Pelodiscus sinensis: one gene and its partner. The protein of the gene in region 2 interacts with the protein of the main gene of each other region in a biochemical or structural test. Links are inferred from orthologs where the notes say so. Each region holds a gene or a part of one and is shown on either strand. Other genes may lie near its edges.

Region 1 (10,941 bases), on a different chromosome or scaffold from region 2:
GGGCGGAGAGCCGGCCGAGGCGTCGGGGCAGGGGGAAAGGCGCGCACGCTCTGGGTTCCGTCCGGAGCAGAGATTCCGTGTCCCAGCGGGCGGGCTGAAACCAGATGTCTACACGGGGAAAGAGAGGCAAGGGGCGGGGGGCTGGTTAGCCGAGCTGCCTGGAGTCGATCTCTTATCTCTGCTGGCTCGCTGGAGTGTGAATAGCGACAGGCAGGGCCTCAGCTCTTAGCCCCCGAGAGTCCCGGCTGCAGCGTGGACCAAGAAGACACTCACTAGATAAACGCTTTAAAAAAGTGACACCCCATCTAGTAATTACAACCCGCCTCGCAGGAGCATCCCCCTTCCCCCCATGCCTTCAAATGCACACATTGTATTGCTGCCCTGGGCATTTGCATAGGGTGCATCGGCTGGCACTAGCTAATTGTCTCAAACAAAACTTGATTGGGGCTATTTGCGGACACAAAGACCTCCTTGGCTAAATAAATAATGCTGATAACAAAGCCCATTGGCGAGAAACAAAGAAACAATTCAAGACACCTATCTCTCCCTCGGCCTGTCGCAGGGCTTTTTAATGAGCCCACATTCAGCAGCTAGGAACCCCAAAATGCTGGCGCATTTAAGAGCAGAAATGCCATCTTGGAATGAGCCAAACTTTTCCGTCCTGCCACTATCATCCCGCGTTTGAAGTGATTTCCATCAGCCCTTTTCCACCTAATTAGTACGTTGGATAATTAGATTTAGAGGTAAGTAAGAGATTGATGAGGCTTTCAGGAACTCTTGATTAGGTCGCTCACGCTAAACAAACAAGTATTTAACTTTCAAACAAAAAAAAAAATCACCCAGCGAAACTTGCTTCCCAAGGTCCTCAAGGGTTAGGAAAAGACTCCCCTTAAAACACTAGCAGTCATTTTCTGTCCATTGCAGGCTGGGTCTGCAGGAAGAGGCATATTATTAGGAGAAATACCATCCTTTCATTTCCTAGCCCCCAGTAGCCTTTGGTTGGTTTCTCCCTAGCCCTACTGACACCTATTTGGAAAGCAGCTTCCCCCTCCCCCCCCCAAAAAAAACTCTTTACTTTTCCATCCTGCTCCAGGGTTCCAAAGTGTGACATTAACACAGCCCGGCAAACTAGCGTGTTCCATAAAATGTTACCCTGCTCTTGGACCGAGCTAAGGACTTTACAACTTTGAGGAAGCGCCTTATTTTCCCCCAAAATGGCGGACAGGGAGGAGGGAATTTCCAAGAGTGCAAGAAGAAGATTTGGATGGTGATGTTTAGACTGTCCGGCTTCCTGCTCCGATGGCATAAAGAACCCAGCCATCTCAATCAACTCCTCACTGCGGAAGTTAATTCATCTTTCACGTTACAAAACCACGCTCCTTTAATTCAACGTTAATGTAAAAATAAAGCGGATCTTTGAGACTTTTCCAGATCCCTCCCATTCAAAGGTAGATGTTTCATCAAATAAATGCCTATTAGCTAAATTATAAACCAAAGCCAGCCTACTCTGTTTCACGTGCTGTGTTACTACAAACCTTAGTCTAGTCTAGCAAGGTTTTTAATCGATACTTGGCTATTTTAACTTTCCTGAGTTGCATGAATTAAGTTTCTCAATTCCGATATTTATTATTGCATTTTTCTCTTGAACTTAACGGTACTTAATTTGCAAATCCTTCTTCTATTAGTGAGAAAACAGCAATTTACTAGGATCAGAAGAGATTTGTTTTTAAAAGTATATTGTGTGCGCGCATTTGTGAGTGAATAATAAACAGGCATCACACACACAATCACATATATACAAATATAGTTCATGCACACCTCTTCGGAAGTGTATATTTCACTACAATCCCTTATGGAAGAATTTCAGTTTAATTTAAAAAAAAAATTCTCAGAACAATTACAAAACAAAACAAACCCCCATTCCTACGTTTTGATGTTTGGCCACGTTAGAGGGACATTCCGAGTCCCATCTTCCTATGAAATAGGATTAAAAGCTTCCATGACTAGAATCAAACTTTTTTTTTCTAGTGAATTCGTTGCAGTGGATACTTGCCTTAAGTGGGAGAGATTTTCGATCTTAAAAAAAAAAGTGCAGGAAATCTGCCGCCCTTGGAACGCGGAGGGACACCATATAAATCCAAGGCGTTTGCAAATCTGGAAATGCGATGGGAAGTTGGATTTACCGTCCTGCCTTCTTGCATGCGGCTTTGCGCCTCTGACCTGCTTGGTGGCACGGTCTCTCAGTTTTATATCTAACGGCCATTCTGCTCAATCTGTCACCTTTTTCTCCCTCCCAAAGATCTCATCTACCAGTTGCTCTGCCCTCGCTCAATAATAATTACCCAGTCCAAGAATTAATTATAATAAATGTTTTCTTGATAAACTAACGAGATAATCCGAGGGACACACGTTCCCTAATTACGGGCCGCCAGACCTAGCTCGGCAGATCATGTGCACTGATTAATTTTCTGCCTGATGGCAATGAAACAAAACGTATATAGACTGGCGTACTGTTTATCACAACACGCAGCCTGGGGTGAAGAACTGCAGGGAAAGTTTTAGGCCTGGGGGGGAGGGGATCATTTAAAGGATGCAAACGGGGAGACCCCTCTTTTTGCGCATAGTCACTTTTTGGTGTCTGATATTGTTTGTGACAGTGATTTCTCTCCTCACCCCCCTTCATACTTTTAACAGGAAGGGGAATTTAAAAATACAGTTGGCGGTGGGTTAAGAGGTATCATCAAATCCTGCTTTTTATTCGAGCTCCCCAGTGTAGCTAAAAATCACCCAGACCTCACCATTCTCCTTCAAAAAAAGTTTTAAAAACTCAGCCCTTCGTTGCTACACAATAAAACCACCTGCACGGGTAAAAATCAGAGAACCGCCCTGCGAAGGAACTAACCTTCGGCATTATGGTAAACTCTCTTCCCCCCAAACCAGGCATTTTCACCTTTTTGGTTTTTAAAAAAATATTGGATGTCATGTGCACCGTACGCCCGCTTTGATCGCCATGAATGCAAACGCACGTAGATCCAAAATGACTGAATTATGCCGAAGACAGGTTTACACAGGGGAGAAACTTGCAACGGGTTTACTTTCTTCGGCCTAAGGGGAACAAGTTTAAAGAGATGCAGCTGTGTGTGTGTGTGTGTGTCCGTGTGTATCCGTGTCCCCAAGACTGCATCCCTTTGAACTTCTTCCTCTTTAGTCAACGAAGATAACCCCCTTGCAAGTTATATATCGGGGATATAACACAAACGGCTTTACACCACACACCTCCAATTGCAGAGCTTTGTCTCTGTCTACACCGGTCGGTAGCTAGTGTGTAGCCATTTGCGTTACACACACCACTCTGCGGTGTTTAGGTTTTGGGCACGGCTTCTCTGAAAGCACCTGTCCAGTGATAGCTGCAAACCGATCCGTCTCCCGTTTAGAAATTGACCCGATCCTTGTCATTCATTTCCACAGTAAAGAGAAACGGCGTATTTTTTTATTCTCTCTCCACCCCAAGTTGATTGAAAGAGTCTAAGCCCCCCCCCAACACACACACACACACACACTTAAAAAAAATCTAACCCTTTTCTTGTTGCCTCGAGTCCCGTCTGCTCAAAGCCATGTTTGCAAAACGACTTTTCCCTTTGCTGAGTCTATCGATCGGGAGTACGAGGCAGAAATCTGTTTATCAATAACCGCTCAGACCAGGGATGTCATTCCACATTATTATTATTATTTATTTAAGAAGTGTATGTACCGCTAGACAGCGGCCGGAGGATCAGGCCAAGCACAAGAAGAAGAACAATTTTGTTTTTCATGGGAAAAGCTCGCTTTGGGAGGAAGAGAGTCCCACACAGACAACCAAATCAAGGGAGGGGAGAGCAGTGTCTACCCGCCTCCTCAATTAGCAGGCTTGGTCCCTGCCTTTTCATTCAGACTCTGCATATCGGGGAAATGAATTAAATTATATTGGGGAGGCATCTGGGGAAGCGAGTTTCGGACCTTTTCCCCGCCCCACTCCTACCGGAGCTGCGAAACTAGGATCGGTCTCAGTCCACAGAACAACGGGAAACGGGCCACTCCGAATTATAGCGAGAGAGGCTGAATTGTGCCCTTGGCCAAGCGAAATCAAACTGTCGCTGTCGCGAGCTCTGCTGTGATTCCCGGGACAGATTTAGGGACCACCGCAAAGCGAGAGAGAGATCTTCACATGCTCAAGGAAAAAAAAGAAAAAAAGAAACCGTTTTCAAACAAGCAAAGCGTTCACACTTACCTTGAGGCTTCTAGGGAGGAGTGTGCCGGGGTGGGGGAGGGAGGAGGCGGGCAAAAAACTGACCAAATTATCCTTTGCCAAATTCAAAATAAAGCGCTCCCCTACAAAAGAAATCACAAAGCAGCGGGTTAGAAATCTTGCATCCTTCCACCTTGCCCGAGAAGCGAACGAAAAAGGGGGCGAGCGAGGCTACACGAGTCTAAAGGCTTTTCAATGGAGCAGGGGGGGGCTCTGTCTTCGATACATACAAAGTAGGACGTAGCCGGATCCGGCCAAGGGGTTTTATTTTTTAATAACAGTGGAGAAGTGAATTGGAGCTGAGGTCTCTACCTCTCTCAGGGAGATTTGCTGAGAAAGCGCCGCTCTGGCAACTTTTTGACGCAAACTCTCCAACCAATAGCAAGGAGAGAATGATTGACACATCTAAGCCAGAGGGAAAATAATAAAAACACACAACAGGGGGAGGAAAACAGGCCACTGCTGCACTGGGGGGACGAGCAGGCAACACGGAACAGCGACCAAAAACCGACACAAGAATATACATAAAAGCAACGAGGCTCGTTTTTAAAAAAATATACATTCGGGGCTGCAGCATATGAACTAATTGTACAATTAGCATGATGGACAGCAAAGATCACGTTACTTTCTTGCTGGGGGGAGAGGAGACGGTGGGGGAAGATCACACACACACACACACACACACACACACACACACACACACACACGAAAGAGGATATTAAAATATAAGAGTAAACATTATGGGAAAGGGAGGGGGTAGGGGATACATCCCGGGGAATTCAAAGCAAAATCTGCCAAGAAGCTCTTGGATTAAAAGCACAACGCATGTCAAAGACCGGAGTTTAACGCCCCCGCCTCCCCAAGGCAGCTGAGGTATCAAAGAAAGTGAAACTAAGTCAGAGACAGAGAAATAAAGCGCGAGCGAAAACTATTGGTGACAGGGACCAAGCCTGGGATGCGGGTCCAAAGTGAACTAGCCAGAGGCGGAGGGGAAACGGGTTAGTGCTGCTTCCCTGCTAGATGGACAGCGTAGGGTGCACTAGATGGGTGCAGAGATGCCCTCTCTATGGAGAGAGAGAGCCTGTGCAGTCAAAGGGGGCCTAGGGGAGAGGATCCTCTATGGGACAAGCGCGTAGCAAGTGCCTGGCGCGGGGGGGCGGAAGATTGCGCGCTTCCTCGCGGCCAGCACGCCCCTGGGCAATTCAGAAATGCCAGCTCTCTCCTGGTCGCCCGGTTTCGGGGACTTGCTCTGCTGGGTCCGAGAGGGCTGCTAACTCATCCCCCCCCCCCCCCCCCCAGAGCGGAGACCAGAGCACGTTTAAAACACGCGGAAAAAAGTCGCCGAGCTCAGCAGAAGCCGGAGAGGAAGCCCCTACTCCCGCCGGCACCCGGGGGAGAAATCAAATACAAGCCGGCCCGAGCCTGGCAGTGGGGGCATGAAGTACAGCGGGTCACTCGCCTCTTCCTGCCGCTTCCTCGCCCACATGTGCGTGGCCGGGACGCGCTGCAATGAACGAAAGAATTCAGAGCCTCGGCGGCTTTATTTTTATTTTTTATTTTTTGCCGGGGAGGGGCAATTCAAAACAAAAGCAAAAGTAAAATAATTGTTCCCCCCCCCCCAGCCCTTTGAGGGGAGACTTCTGAAAAGTTTGGGGCTGGCTGGGATGTCCGCAAGGGCAGCTACTCGCTAGGAAACTCCGCCGTGTCGCATCCCCTGGCTCCCCAAGAGAATCAAAGCATCGATTCCCCGGCCCTGCTTTGTAGGAACCCGGACACATGGATTTTGAGGGGAGTAGATACTGGCTCTTTGTACCCCTCTCCCCAGTCACTCGACAGAGAAGCCTGAAAATGATGTAAAATCCCCGTGTAGGCACCGCGTCCCTCTGAATTTTCCTTGCCATAATAAATATCGAGAATCAACTCTTCCCCTCCTCCCCCTTCATTGGTCCTCTCGCGATTTAATAAGATTAATCCACCTTGGAAGAAATCTAAAGATAATTTCTTCCCGTGCATCCTGGCCCAGAAGATTTTCTGAATGGGAATCGATTTTTTTTTGTTAAAAAAGGGGGCAGTAAAAGAGGGAATGGGGGATGTAGGTGGGGGTGGAGTGGGGAGACCTGGGAGGAGCCGTTAAATAAAACACAGCGCCCCAAAAAAAGCCTAGTGAAAAACCGGGACTGAAGAGCTGGGAATTGCAAGCCATGGAGTTTGTGGTAAATATCCAGACCAGCAGCAGCTCTTGAAACTGACCATGCTTAGATTGTGTGGGGGGCCGTGTGAATAAGGGAGCTCCCTTTCCTGTAGCTAGGGGACTGCATGAGGCGAGCTCCCCAGCCTGTTCCTTTGCCCTCTAGTCTAATAAGTTTGGAATAATCGCCCGGCCAATAAAACAAGTGGCAGAAATGGACGGTGTGACTTAAATAAACAAGGGTCTCTTTAAAATTCTCATCCACTTCAGATGTCTAAAGTAAGATTGTGATGATTTTGTCACGGTTTGGTAAATTTACCCCTTTAAGAGGCTTTCATAAATCCCAGAACACACCTTCAGCCAGATTTGAATATAGATTTAGGTTTTAAAACCCAGAAGCTGGGAACACCGCTTTATCAAAGAGAATTTCCCTTTAGCTTAGCAATGTGTTGGAATGGCTCTTGCAAAGATTGGATCTGAAAGGGGGGAAAGGGAGAAACCTTCTTTCTGGAGGAATTCTGCACAGACCTTGCAGCAGCTCCTGGCTAAACCTTTCCTGCAGCTAATGGGAAACTTGCAAAAATGGGGTTCTCCGTCGGTACGAATGCGCTTTAGCATTGCTTTTTTTTTTAATTCCAATATCTTCTTTTTCGATACGGAAACCCTTTTCAGACCAGGTGCACTGCCAGAAATCCAGCCTAACTCGGGATAAACTCCTAGTGAGTGGACGCTGTGGGGTGAACGATAAAGAACTCTGAGAACCAAAAATCTACTTCTGGGACGAAAAGCGCTCTGACTTCTGAGTCTCAGTAAGTTCTCCAACTTCCAGTACCAATTGTTTTCCATAGCCATTCATTTCCTCTCTCTGCCTAGCCATCCTCTCTCTTTTCCTCTCTATTTTTGATTCCTTTGGCATTATTTTCCACGCCTTCTACGTTGACTGTTTTGCAAGCGTTTGTGGCTGTTTGTTTTGAACCGCTCGGTGTGTAGATGATGACAAAAAGAGTTTATTACCGAAGAGTGAAGCGAGCTTCCCCGAATCTGAACCGATTTATGATTTGTCACCTTTCTATCGCAGCTCGGATCCGGAGAGCGAGGCATGCTACTCGCTTAGCTTTGCCCTCTGCGGAGTTGGGTCTAGTTAAAATATTCCGCACTTCCCCCGAGTTTATACGCGGTTTTCTGCTCCCCCCCAAAACCCCTCTTATTTTGGGAGGGATGCGATTGAAATAGCCATCCCCAAACACCAAGGGCCACTGTTCAGAAATGTTGCCAGTTGTTGCAATGTTAAAAAGAGCTCCCTTTTCATTCGGTCTCAGAGTTGAATACGTTCCTTTGTTGTTGTTTTTAATTAGTCGCCACCCCAACCTCGCTTAAAACAACTTTCATAATTGGGATGGGAGGGAGGGGGAGGGGAGGAGAAAAGGGAAAGAAAGAGGCAACATGGAAGCTTTCCATTTTACAGCCATCTATTCCCCAAACATGAGACACTGAGGCAGAGAGAACTCCCCACAAGGAAGGGCTGAAACTGACTATGGTCCAAAAAAAGGAGAAAGGTCTCCCTGAAATCGCGAAATAAAACAGATCGCGCGTGTTTCCGGAGGGAGCTGGGTGGGGGTCGCGCCTGAGGAATGGGTGGGATGCGAACTCGGGTGGAAACATTCTGTGCATACGTGGGAGCCGGTGGGTCAGGTGTGTGTGCGTGTTTGTGGCTGAAAGGCGTTAATTATCCGTTTCCGTGATTTTCCTCTCCTGGCCCTGGAGTTGCCTAGATGAGGAGCAATCCGTTTATAGTTCCCAGTCCTGATATTAAAATAAGGATTCCCGGCCGATATCCAGCACGCTGGCAAACTTCATAGCTGGCTTGGGGAAGGGGGAAAACCAGAAAGCAATGGGGGTGGTAAGAAAGAATAAAAAAAACTCCTCAGCGAAGCTCTAACCGAGCCATTCCCACCTAACCTTTTACACCCTTTATTTCCCGCACACAGAAAACGTCTTTTACTGAGACCCGCAAAGAACTTTCCCTTTGCTTTGGTTTCCTTTGGATTTTTAATTAGAACCCATCAGATGCAGCCATATATATAAGAATCGATATAAAGTAATCCTCGGAGATGGGGGATAAGGTTTTAATCGAAAATCTTCTTTGCCATTCTTTGCAGATCTTCTTTAGCCGCTGGCTGGTGGAGAAACAAATGTTCATTTTAACCCCCCCCCACCCCCCACCCCCCGCACACAGACAAAGCAGAAAACTTGCAAAAGATCAGAAACCAACTGTTGTTACCCTGGGAATAAGAAATGAACTCTCATGTTATCTTCTTTCTTTCCCTTACTCCCAACGATTGCTTGGTGGTTTTCCTACCTACATGAATCTCTAAACATCACCTTGAAAAATAGATCCATGTTTTCATCTGCTGCACACCACGTTGGAAGAATTATTTTCCCTGCAAAAGAAAGAGGCGGGATTGTGTGTGTTACTAAAGATCCAAAAAGTACAACATGGGCAGGAAATCGTCTAGTAAACGAAATCCTTAAATTGGCCACAGATTAAGGAAGGAATAGCGAATTTTTTAACCGCGTTTTGTTTGCTTTTGTTACATGATGTTCCATTTCATTCGCCTCTGTTACTTCAGGAAATATTTATTTTCGAATGTCAAAAAAACCCCAGTCTTTAGCCCGTACAGACTAGCAATCGGTACTTTGCTCAGAGGGGTGGGGTAGGGGAGGGAGGGGAAGAGACGCCAGCGTTTTAAACAATACCACCAGCTTCAATTTGTTTTGTTATTTTAAAATTCATTGTCAGTCTATTCTGGCTCCCCTGTGTTCTTGCATGATTAAACTGTGTTATTTGTGTTCCCAAAAGCTGCGCATTATCTCCAAGTGCAAGTGCATTTGAAAGCATCATCCTCTGGTTTAACGTAAGCAAACCAGACTGCGGGAAAAAAAAGTTTCCCCGCGTAACTGCGGCGGAGCGTCGACTCGGGAGTCGTGTTAATCATGATTTTCTATTTGATAAGTGCGTTTTAAAGAAGGGTCCCTGCTTCTATTTATTTATTTATTTATTTTTAATCTGAAGACAAGCGAGCCTGCCTGGCCGCGTTTGAAACCCAAGCTGGCGTCTTAGCTCGATGAAATTTCAATTTATTTAAAAGCCTGGTGTTTAATACACGACATGGGCCACATATAGCGGAGGCAGCTCCCTCCTCCCCCGCTGTACTTTCGCCGTAATCGCGTCTAATGAAAACGTGGGATTTCCCCATTATTTGGGGGAGGGGGGGGGAGAAGTGAAAATATAATGCATCTTCATTAGGAAAATTGACTGCTGTGCTCAAGACAGTTCTTAATTGAAAAGGCAACCTATTTTAATGGGGTGGGCGAGGAGAAGATTACATACTTTATCCAAACACAAAGACAATTAATAACGAGGAGCAGCCTGCTGCCATTAACTCTAATGCAGTTGCATCAATGTCAGACTGAGGGCTCCTACCTGGGACAGATAGTGAAATGCGCTCTCGGTTCGCGTCTGCTCTCCACTTGGCGAGTCGTTCATTGCCCCCGAGGCGAGGCCCCGTTATTTTTGGTCCGGGGATACACTGATCAAGAGCAGGCACCGATTTTTTATTGTTGTGGGGGGGAAGGGGCTGAGTTAGTTTTTCATGGCAGCGAGTGGCACACGCAAAACTCGCCTCCATGCGTGATTTGGAAGGGACTTTCCTGGAGGGAGCTGGCGTCTTTGGGCATAAGAGGCCGCGCATTTCATCGGCCGGCCACCCACAAGCCTGTGTCCCAAAGCCACCGTGTCCCTCCTCTCCAGCCTTTCTGGAGACCAGCTTCCATCTCCGCCGCGCCTGGCGCAGTGCGTGCGGCTGGGTTATTTATTTTGTAAATACACTTTCCTTCCGTGGCTTGGCAGCAAGCTGCCTTTACGCCGCTCTTCGGGGTTGTTTGGGTGTCGGGTTTGAATTTTCGGGTCAAAAGGGCAGTGGGGACCGTCTGAGGAGCGAGAGGGGATACAGTCCGCGGAGCGCGCTTTGGCTCAGTGAAAAGCCAAGATCCGGCGAGCGCCCAACTCTTTGCTCCTACAGCGGCGTGGATTGGGGAGTTCAAACGACCACAGACATAGGGCAGCAGGTGTCAGCTCCCCCCCCCATATGCAGGGGTACCAGACCCACACTCCGGCTGCTGAATGTCTCCGACATTTCTAACAATCCCTTTCTCAGCAGGGACCCGATCCAACACCAATTGCACAGAAGTTTTCTGTAGGGCTTTGGCCCAGACCAGGCAGAAAGGGGCGGGCGCGGGGGGGGGGGGGAGAGGGGGTCCTAACTTTTTAGATGGAAACCGGTTTCACTGGCCCGCTACTGCGGAGCGTGGCTCATCCTTTCTGCCTGCTCTCGGAACCGGAGCCGAGTTGTGTTTACACAGGGCCGCTGGGGCCGCTCCAAGGCGACTGGCCCAGCCCACTCGCGCG
Region 2 (10,543 bases):
GACTTTATTCACCACACAGGGCTAAGGAAGCCATGTGAATACTTGTGTAATAGGCTGGAAACAGCTTCTAATGTTTGGGCTCTAGGGCACCCCTCGCTTTGGGTCACCGCTCCGGATTTACGCGCGGAAGGTGCCAGCCGCGCATTCCCCGACTGCGATTTTAGGTTCTTGGGACTTGACCCCAATAAACACGGGCCCGATCCTGAAGTTCTCTGGTAAAATTCCCAGCGAAATCCCGGCGCCCCGCGTGCATATTGGCGTGAAAATATGTCGCGCAGACTCGCGTGTGGGCAGGCCCGCTCCACTCGGGGTCACTTCGCACTTCGGGCAGCGGGCGCTCCAAGCGGCAGGAGCCGATGGCCTTTGGCGAGGCCCCAGTCCCCTAAACCTCCCCTCTTCCCCAAAGCTTGGGCTTCTCCGCCTTCACCCAGCCGCCCCCCTGGTCTCGGAGCCATAGTGCGCGACAGCTCCCGCCGCCCTGCGCCCGCTGACCCCTTTCAAGCTGTGTGCAAACTCCAAAGTTCATGACTCCAAGGACAGCGAGTCACCTGGCGCCAGTGAGTTTTACAGCGCCTGGATTTCAGGTGGAATCCCCGGTCTGAACTGGGGGGGGGGGAGAGAAGAGGGAGAGAGGAGGGGGTTGTGTCCAAGGGCAGTCATTACATGAAAATCCCGGGTCTATAAAGGCGGGTTGGTCCTTGGTCTGGTTTGGTTCGCGGCTTGGCTTAAAACGTGAAATATCCAAACGTGGTGAATTCTCAAACGCTCCCTTTGCTTTAGATCCCGAGCCGCTGAAACCCGGAGCGCATCCGTGTAACTGTTTCAAACTTTTTCATACAACCGTGAACAAAATCTAAGCGGTCATCTACTTTTCATGTGTGTGTCTTCTGTATGTAGCTTATACGATTCTTTAATCGATATGTAGTGTGTGTATATAATATATATCTTTTTATAGATGTGCCTAGACAGTTTATATTTTTCATATGTGTATATATCTTATAAGATATAGTACGTATTATATATAAGCTATATAATCTATTAAATATATATTAATAAAGATATATCTCATAATATATACAAATATATTGTATCTTATAAAACAAAGGTTTACATTCTTTCCATATATGAATGTATGCTATTCAGAAAGAATAAATACACACAAAGATACAAGCCTAGGTAGAGATTTAAAAAAAATATATATATTAGTATCTGAAATAAAAAGGGAATCCATTCGTTTTTCGTTTTCCTTGTCAGCGTTTTTTTCCCCCCTCCAGCGGGGCAGAAACAAATGGGAAAATCCGGGAAAAAAAGATTCAGGGGGAAAAAACGCCAATAACACTTTAATATAGTTTTTGTGAAAATCTGGCTCTTTGGGACCAGAATACACATTTATAAGCCATAAATAAAGCATACAGAAACGATAAATTAATCAGATCCAAGTAGTTTACTCGCCCGGTAACATCAAACGTTTGTATCAATTACAACAATCTAGCCTGACTTTTTTTTTTCTTTTTGTGATTTTTTTCTCTCTTTTTTTTTTTAACCTTTTTTTGGTGTTTTTTTTTCCCTCCCACTTTTTACACAACATGACAAGACTTTTGGTCCTCCCTTTCCGAACTAGCCTGGTTTCACACCGAATTAAGTTTTCCGTCACTTTCACACACGCACGCACAGGAAAAAAAATAGATATATTTATAACTCCCTGCAACGAAAAAGAGGACCCCACCCTCCGCTGCCCAGGACATCAAATAACGCCCCTCCCCCCCCAAGAAAGCACCCCAAGTCTCCGATTGAAACGGGGGTTTCCGGGGCCAATCCGGGGCCCGATCCGTTGGCCTTTGGACCGGGCTGGGAACGTGTCCTCGGAGGTCGGTCCCGGACACAAAATAGACACAATAGCTGGAGCCACGAACGCCGGCGAGGGCCGACCTCCGTCCCCTAGCCGGGTGGGGCCGGGGAGCCCTTTCAGGACGAGTTCATGATGGGCCGAGCGTACACCCCTTGGTAGTAGGCGGCGTCTCCGGCCAGCGCAGAGGGGTCCAAGCCACCTTTGTTCGTGACGGGCCCCATGGCCAGGCTGCCGGGCATGGGGGAGCCGTAGCCGGAATAGTGCATCACCTGTTCGTAGGCCTTGAGGTCCATTTTGGGGGGGTGGGGGTGCGGGTGGGGGGGCGGCGGCGGCTCGGACATCAGGTTGTTGATGGAGAAGGGGTGGTTGAAGGCGTAGTGGTGCTCGGGCTTGAGGTGGGCCGGGTGGGCCAGGTGGTGGGGGGCCAGCAGGTGCTGGGCCGGCGAGGGGGCCTGCTGCGGGGGGGTCCCCGCTTTGAGCTCGGCCAGGGCCCGCTTGTGCTCGCGGCAGGGCGAGGCGCCGGGGTGGGGGGACTCGGCGGCGCTGTCGGAGCCTCCTTCCCCGGCTTGGGGGGCCGCCTGGGGGGCCGGCGGCGGCTGCTTCTTGCCCCCGCCGCCTCCTCCGCCGCCCCCGGCCCCCGCTCCTCCCCCGCCGCCCGCCTCCTTGCTGCGCTCGCACTTGAAGCGCTTCTGGCGGCGCAGGTAGCAGCCGTTCTCGAACATGTTGCCGGAGTCGGGGTGCAGGGTCCAGAAGGAGCCCTTGCCCGGCTTGTCGGGCGAGCGGGGCACCTTGAGGAAGCAGTCGTTGAAGGAGAGCGAGTGGCGGATGCTGTTCTGCCAGCGCTGCTGGTTCTGGCGGTAGAAGGGGAACAGGTCCATGATCCACTGGTAGATCTCGCTCAGCGTCAGCATCTTGTTGGGCGACTGCTGGATGGCCATGGTGATGAGCGAGATGTAGGAGTAGGGCGGCTTGGCGTGCGTGTAGCTGCGCCGGTAGCTCTTGGGGTCCCGCGCGCGGCCGGCCAGGTTGCCCTGCCCGTACATGGGGCTCATGGGCGTCATGTTGCCGTAGGGGGCCAGCGAGCCCCCCTGGGCGCCCATGGGGCTCAGGCTGGGGCTGAGGTGGGCCCCCATGCCGCCGCCCATGGGCCCCGGCCCGGGGGACATGCCGGCCAGAGAGGGGCTCATGCCGGCGCCGTAGGAGACGTTCATGGAGCCGGGCCCGCCCAGGCTGGCCGCGCCGCCGCCGCTCATGGCCGACATGCCCATGTAGGTGTTCATGCCCAGGCCCGCGTTCATGCCGCTCACGGAGGAGTAGCCCTGCGAGGGGAGAGGAGCGGGAAGGGGGGAGGTTAACGCCGCTGCCAGGCAGTGCGGGCCGCCCGAGCGAGGGGGCTGGGGCGCCCCCCAAGCGCGCCCCCCCCTGCCCCCGCTCCCCAAGCCCCGGGGCGCGCTGCGCTCTGGCGGAACCGCAGCCGGCGGCTCCCCGCAAGAGCAGCGCCGGGAGAGGGAGCGGTCGCCCCGCGCTGGGGCAGTGGGATCGCGGGGGGGGGGGGGGGGGCTGGCCGGGCTGGAATCGCTCCCAAGCCGCTGGCCGCCCGACCCCCCTGGATCCGAGGATCAGGACCCGCCGGCTGGCTCGGCTCGCAGGATCGCCCCCTGCGCGTTGCCCCCTTCCGTCCCCAAACCCCGTCTCCGGCCACAAACTTCTCCCCGGTCTGCCTTGGCCCCCCTCCCGCCCCGGTCCCCCCCGGCGGTTCCCCTGCCAAACACAACTTTGTGAGGAGAGCGCGGGCCGGGCAGAGGATTTGGAAGCGGCGCGAGTCAATATTTGAGCACAAAGTTAATATTATCTCACGGCTCACCCGGCGCGGCAGCCGCCCCGCGCCCTGCTCGGGAGGGGGGGGGACAGGCACACACCCCCACCTCCCCCCCAGGAGCCAGCCGGGCGTCCTACCTCGGGCTCGGCGTAGTAGTTGCTCCAGTCCGCGGGTTCGTGTCCTTCCATTTTCACGGCGCCCAGCATACTGGAAGCGGAGTGCATGGCCGTTTAAAATTTAACAGCCACCACCGACGACAGGAGAGAGAACAACCCAAAAAAAAACCAACCCCCCCCCAGCCCTCCCTCCCTCCCCTCCAGACTCACTCCCGCGCTGCCTGCCTGCGAGGGGAGGGGAGGGGAGCAGGCTGCTAGCTTGGGGTGGATGCTTTTTTTTTTTTTTTTTCCTCCTGCAGCCGCTGCTTGGGTGAGTGGTGGGGGGTTTTTTTCAGCCCAGACTCGCCCGGAGGCGCTGGGGAAAGGAGGAGGCGCAGGACGAATGCAGCTGCTGTGACGTGGGGGCCTGGGAGATATAGCACCGGGGGGCCCCCCGGCCGGCCTCCAATCCCTTCTTCCCAGGCAGCCGATTTGAATAATCAGCTCACACCTAAGCGACAGGGCACCTGCCCGCGGCGGGGGCGGCCGGATCGGGCCCCAGGGCGAGCGCGCTGCGGCTGGACCCGGCTTGATGGGCCCCTGTTTTGGCCTCTGTCCGGGGGCGGGGAGGGCATGTGGGGTGCTCTGCAGTGAGGACCGCAGCAGTTCCCCTTCCCTCGCTCCCTCCCCAGCTCTGGACTCTTCCTGGTTTGCGAGCCTGGCTGCACGGCCCTCGGGGCTCGCTAGCCGGCCACCCAGCCCGAGCCTGGCGCTAATTCGAATCCGGGCTGTTTACACACCTTCGGCCCTCCCGACGCGGCTCCGGGCGCGCGCGACCCGGCGTCACTCCGCTCCCGAACCGAGCCGCAGCAGCGGCGGGGGTATCACGCCGCATTCCCCCCGCGCCGCCTGGGGCTTAGGAAGGGGTGAAATGGCTGGGGAGCGCCCATTCGGCGGCGGCAGGGCAGCCTGGCCCGCGGTTACCCAGCCACCGCCGAGGTAACTAAAACAAACAGGGGCAAGGTGCGGGAGCCAACAGCCGGGGCCCGGGACCTGCGATTGTCTCCCGCAGCCCGGAGCAGCGTCTCCTGCGCCAGCGGCTGCCCCCAGGAACTACCGGCCAGGTCCCAATTCACCCACAACGCCTTCCCAGCGGGAACGACCCCGCATCCCAACGCTTGGCCGTGGGAACTAGCCCCGTCCCCGGCCAGCTCGCCACGCAGCCCCCTGGGAAGGGGACGCGGGGTCATGGGTCTGGGACACGCTCGGCCAAGCTTCCTCGCGGGGCCTGCTAATTGAGAGTCCATTTTGTAACTAGTGGGGGATTCTTTTCCCGTGTCCCTGTTTTCTTAGATAGATGGATGGATGGATGGATGTGTATGGAGAGAGAGAGAGAGAGAGAGAGAGAGAGAGAGAGAGAGAGAGAGAGAGAGAGAGAGAGAGTGTGTATGGGGAAAGAAAGAAAGAAAGAAAGAAAGAAAGAAAGAAAGAAAGAAAGAAAGAAAGAAAGAAAGAAAGAAAGAAAGAAAGAAAGAAAGAAAGAAAGAAAGAAAGAAAGAAAGAAATCAGACAGACAGACAGACAGAGGAGGTGTATGGGGATCGATAGATAGATAGATAGATAGATAGATAGATAGATAGATAGATAGATTAGATAGATAGATAGATAGATAGATAGATAGATAGATAGATAGATAGATAGATAGATAGATAGATAGATAGATAGATAGATAGATAGATAGATAGATATGGTGTATGGAGAGAGAGACAGGCAGACAGACAGAGAGAACACTACTTGCTCTTCTTGCCACAGTTGTTCGACCAAAGGCTGGAACTTGTCTTTATTTTCTGAGGATACTTCAGCCGCTGTTTGAGACATTAAACGAAGTCAAGTGTCTTTAACAGCTTCGGCTCATGAGAGATTAAACGGTCTTTCTCGAGGAATAGAAAACAGCGATTCTGCGAAGGGGAGTGATCCTATTTCGTTGCCAATACCCCGCAGACACCTGGTCTCCATCCGAATTTTGAAGTTAAGGTTGTAAAGAGAACAAGTGATTCTAGTTTTGTCTGACAAAATTCTGTCGTAAAAAAAAACAGGGGACGGTGTCCTGGCATCATCCATTATTTTCATGTACAAATGTCCACTGAAATCGACACCCTATCTATCTATCTATCTATCTATCTATCTATCTATCTATCTATCTATCTATCTATCTCCATACAACCCATCTATCTATCTATCTATCTATCTATCTATCCCCATACATCCCCTCTATCTATCTATCCCCATACACTCTATCTATCTATCTATCTATCTATCTATCTATCTATCTATCTATCTATCTATCCCCATACATCCCCTCTATCTATCTATCCCCATACACTCCATCTATCTATCTATCTATCTATCTATCTATCTATCTATCTATCTATCTATCTATCTATCTATCTATCCCCATATACCTCCGCTATCTAGCTATCTGGCTATTTATCGGCATACACCTCTCTCTCCCCCTCGTCCCCATACACATCTATCTGTCTGTCTTACAAAACTTCTCCCTAAAAAGATATCACTATCAATAAATGGCGTAATATGTCCCACTAACTTTTCTTTCAAAGAAGACAAACACTTCCCAACTCTAAGAACGAAGGTTTTATAATAATTATAATATAATGCTGATATAGACCGCCCCAGAGGTTTTTCATTTACACGCAGACACTCATAAAATGAATAATTTTATAACGGGTACAGACATGTCTAAAGAAGCCAACAGTCGATTAAACAGAAATGTTAAAGGACGCCAACAAAAAAAATCAGCCAACGTGATTTTGTGAGAAACTGAATATTTTGTTAATAAAAATATGAATCTCTCTTTTTTTATTCTGCAGAATTAGCGGCTTTTCTTCTGGCTTTTTAAGAGTCCGTATTTATTGTTTCAACTAAATGATGACAATACAGAAGCCAAGCTACAGGGTCCCTTGGGAATAAGTGTGGAAAGCCAAGATCTGATTAGCACTCTTTTAAAAAAATAGATAAACTGGCGCTTCTCCTGTGTCTTGCTTGATGGAAACAGACAGTTTTTCTGGCACCTTTTCAGGGTCTTACAGATTAAAATATAGTGGTAGAGCGCCCCCTGTCGTTGGTTCAATGGCACTCCATATTCAATAGGATGAGGGGCCTGATCCAAAGCCCATCGAAGTAAATGGAAAGATTCCCATTGATTTCACTGGGCTGTGGATTAGCCCCTAAAACCAGTGCCTCTATGTGTTAGCCTTCATTTTAGAGTCCAAAGCAGCCTGCTTCTTAGCTTGTGCACAGTGGCATACTGCCTGATCCTTCTACTGTAACCAAATGCTTGTAGAGTGATTTTAGAGCCTCAGATGAAGGGTACATCAAGCGGTTGTTTTTCTTCTCAGTATGACTACACTTTTAAAGAATCCTTCCTATTAAACAGCAGCCATAGCCCCACAAGACAACCAACTATCATTAATGAATAATTGCAAAGAGGTTAATTGGACAATTTAAACATTCCCCCTCCCCTCCCCTCCCCCCACACCCACCCCTACTCCATACACACACAATACAATTGTCTATTCTAAATGTGCTTGTTCCTGTGAGGTTTCATGTATCTTCTGAGCACAGTTATTGGTTTGATTAAATCACTGGGTAGAATTCTGTGGCCCTGTGTGATGTCAGAGGTCACACTAAATTATCATAATGGTTCATTCTAGCCCTTTAGTCTGTGTAATTCTTTTTGGGGCCCCTTGAAATGGCTGCCAGTGTCCCTAAAAGCCACCTGATCTGGCTACAGTGGATTCCTCCAGGGGGAAACCACCTTCTGAGGACACACTTGCAGGCTTTGGTGTAGGGAGGTTCGAGGAGGAAGGGACATTCTGAGCACACTGCAGCAACAGAGAAAAGAAAGGAAGGAATATTGTGTCCATTTTACAGATGGGCAACTGAGGCCAGGGAAGATGTGGGTGATGGGCTCTTCACTCACCTGTCAAAACTGGGGCAAGATCTGTTTTAGGGATGGAGCAACTATTTTTTGGTGTTGGTCATCCACTACATCACATTAGAACAGTGCATGTGGCTTGTACTTCAGTGTTTCCTTCCACGCTCCTCTCCCGCTCAGTTTAACCATATGCAATACAACAGAAAAATGCATTGCTTGAAAGGGAAAATATAAGGAGCTGATTAAGTAAAATCAATTAAGAGGATGTTGCATATAAATAATTGAGGGTGAATGACCCAAAGATCAGCTATTTCTAGTTTAGTGCTTGACATTAAGTTAAATCTTTTTTGGCATGGTTCTGATGGGAGGTGACTTTTTTCCCCAGGTATGAAATCAAATGGCAACAGTGCCACGAGGAATGATTACGTGATCGTGTTCTAACCGTCTAACAGATGTCAAGGGCAAAATAATTCCCCTGAGTTCAACAATAGTAGGAGCAAGTCCTTAAAGAGGATTTTCTAGCACCAATCAGATTGTCCAGCCTACACCTACACAGCGCTTAACACGCGGTTAGACTTGCTATTGATCTCGGCAGGGTTCCTCACAGCGCATACAATTAAGCACATCGATAAAGCTTTGCTGGCTCAGAGCCTACATTTATCCTAGGTCTGGCCTGCACCTAAAAGTGAGATCAGCTCTAACTACACCACTTAGAGCTGTGAAAAATGTCAGCCCCTTCCCACTGCAGATGCAGCTAAGTCTTTCTCTCATCCAACCTAGCGACCGCCTCTCCGGGAAGTCCGTTAGTCACAGAGATGGAAACAAGGATCTTCCCCCAGACCTGAGAGGTTCCAAAAGGATCCTGTGGGATTTCTCTTTTCTCTTTTACTAATGCTGAGATTTCTGCCCCAAATATTCTAATTCGAGGGCCTTTCCCGACTACAGAAGAAGACCCCAGGTCTGCCCCTGCAGTCATGCCGTTGGATTTCTACGGTTAACCAGATGCCCTCTGTGTTCACATTTTGCAGGGCTGGCGGGTGCACTACAGATGTCCCTGGAATGGCATATACTCTCCATAGGTCTGGTCCCATGACCAGAACCACTCCTGAGATCCTCAAGTTCTGTTGCTCATTTACACCCAGGCCTTTGACGGGAATGTGCCAGTGTCAAAGTGTAATTTGCACCTTAAAGTAGGCGTAAATTGCATTTCCACCAGAGAATGTCACAGGGCATTTGCAAAGGTCCTTTAAAAATGGATCTGGGAGAGCAGGAGTAAGACAGGAGAGTCTGAACCTTTTAGACCCGCTGCTGCGATGCTTTTTAGAGTGTGTGATGGATCTTTCAGTCCCAGCTGGTCGACAGACAATCAGCTGGTGTCATTCCCTTGCCTGTTACTACATGGATACTTAGTAGTAACTGTTCTGTTTCAGAAGTTTCAGTCATCTAAAGAAGTGGGCTGTGCCCACGGAAGCTCATGATCCCATCTACATGTTTTGTTTGTCTATAAATTGCTACCAGATCATTTGCTGTTTTTTTCTGTAACAGACTAACTCGGCTACCCGCTGAAACTCCACCCTGGTAGTTCTCTCCACGCTGGAGAAGAGTGAGAACTCACTAGCCTCCAGATGTCTGTGCACCTGGCCCCTAAAAGCCTGTTAAAACACCGCATTCTCCCAATCCAAGGGAAGGCACTATGGAAGGGAAACTACGGTAACCAGGACATTTCAAACCAAGGCCCCTTTTCTCCTGGAGGAAGCTTGCCCTTCCAGCACCCACAGGGAGCAACGGAGGTGTTAATCTTTGTTTTCTTTCCACTTTCTGCATACAGTGATGCAGAGATTTGCATCCACCGCTTCTCATGAATGCAGGCCGTGGGGTGGCGGGGGGGGGGGCATTTGGGAAATACATGAACCCATCATGCCCATGCTATAAATGGTATCCAGGGACTGATTGATCCTATTTTTTTTGGTTATGAATACACATTTGAAACAAGGGTTGTGCTTCTCGCTTCGGAGACACCTCAAATGCCAAAGGGTAGGAGGAAACGATTTCCTTTGGACAATCGGTGCATGAAATGCCCCGGACTAGTGCCTCCGATCATGTGGAGGAAAGAATGGAAACATAAGGGTCTGATGTGAGGCCAATATTCAGTTGAGAACTTTTGCACAAGGAATTGGCATTTATCTTGTGCTGTAGCAGGGAACTCTACATATCATAACATAAGAACATCAGAACGGTGACATTGGGTCAGACTACAGGTCCATCGAGCGCAGTGTCCTGTCTTCTGATAGTGGCCAGATGCCCCAGGAGAAATAAACAGAACTGGGAATCATCAGGTGATCCCTATCCTGTCACCCATTTCCAGCCTCTGACAAATAGAGGCTAGAGACACCATCCCTCTTCATCCTGGCTAAAAGCTATTGATGGACCTAACCTCCATCAATGGATCTAGTTCTTTTTTGAACCCTGTTAAAGTCCTGATCGTCACCACATCCTCTGGCAAGGAGTTCCACAGGTTGCCTGTGAGCTGGGCAAAGAAAAACTTCCTTTTGTTTGTTTGCAACCTGCTGTCTGTTCATTTCTCGATGACTCGATGACCTCTTGAGGTCCCTTCCAGTTCTAGTCATCTGTGATTCTAGGATTAGCTACAGCTGTGTGGCTCTGAGGCACTGACAGGGCAAACTGACCTCTGGCCGCAAGGATTTCTCATGTAGGAAAGGGATAACACCACCTTCCTCTCCAAGAATGGTTTGAAACTTGTAGCCAAAATGTCTATTTTAGTATTGGTTATAAAAACGTACGTATGATGCACCATGCTTGATGTA

Evidence for each region.
Region 1: the proteins of FOXA2 (region 2) and OTX2 form a complex in vitro, tested with the Homo sapiens proteins (2 studies listed by BioGRID). The link is inferred for Pelodiscus sinensis from reciprocal best matches to the Homo sapiens genes FOXA2 and OTX2.

Annotation. Positions count from the first base shown.
Region 1 is NC_134714.1:10,380,092-10,391,032, forward strand, and holds the start of OTX2 (homeobox protein OTX2), read right to left. Parts: upstream 4,630-10,941; 5' UTR 4,268-4,629; intron 932-4,267; exon of another isoform or gene 840-931; intron 109-839; 5' UTR 1-108. UniProt on the Homo sapiens protein: Transcription factor probably involved in the development of the brain and the sense organs. Can bind to the bicoid/BCD target sequence (BTS): 5'-TCTAATCCC-3'.
Region 2 is NC_134713.1:196,614,851-196,625,393, forward strand, and holds FOXA2 (hepatocyte nuclear factor 3-beta), read right to left. Parts: upstream 5,103-10,543; 5' UTR 4,659-5,102; coding exon 4,564-4,658; intron 3,876-4,563; coding exon 3,806-3,875; intron 3,169-3,805; coding exon 1,966-3,168; 3' UTR 1,323-1,965; downstream 1-1,322. UniProt on the Homo sapiens protein: Transcription factor that is involved in embryonic development, establishment of tissue-specific gene expression and regulation of gene expression in differentiated tissues.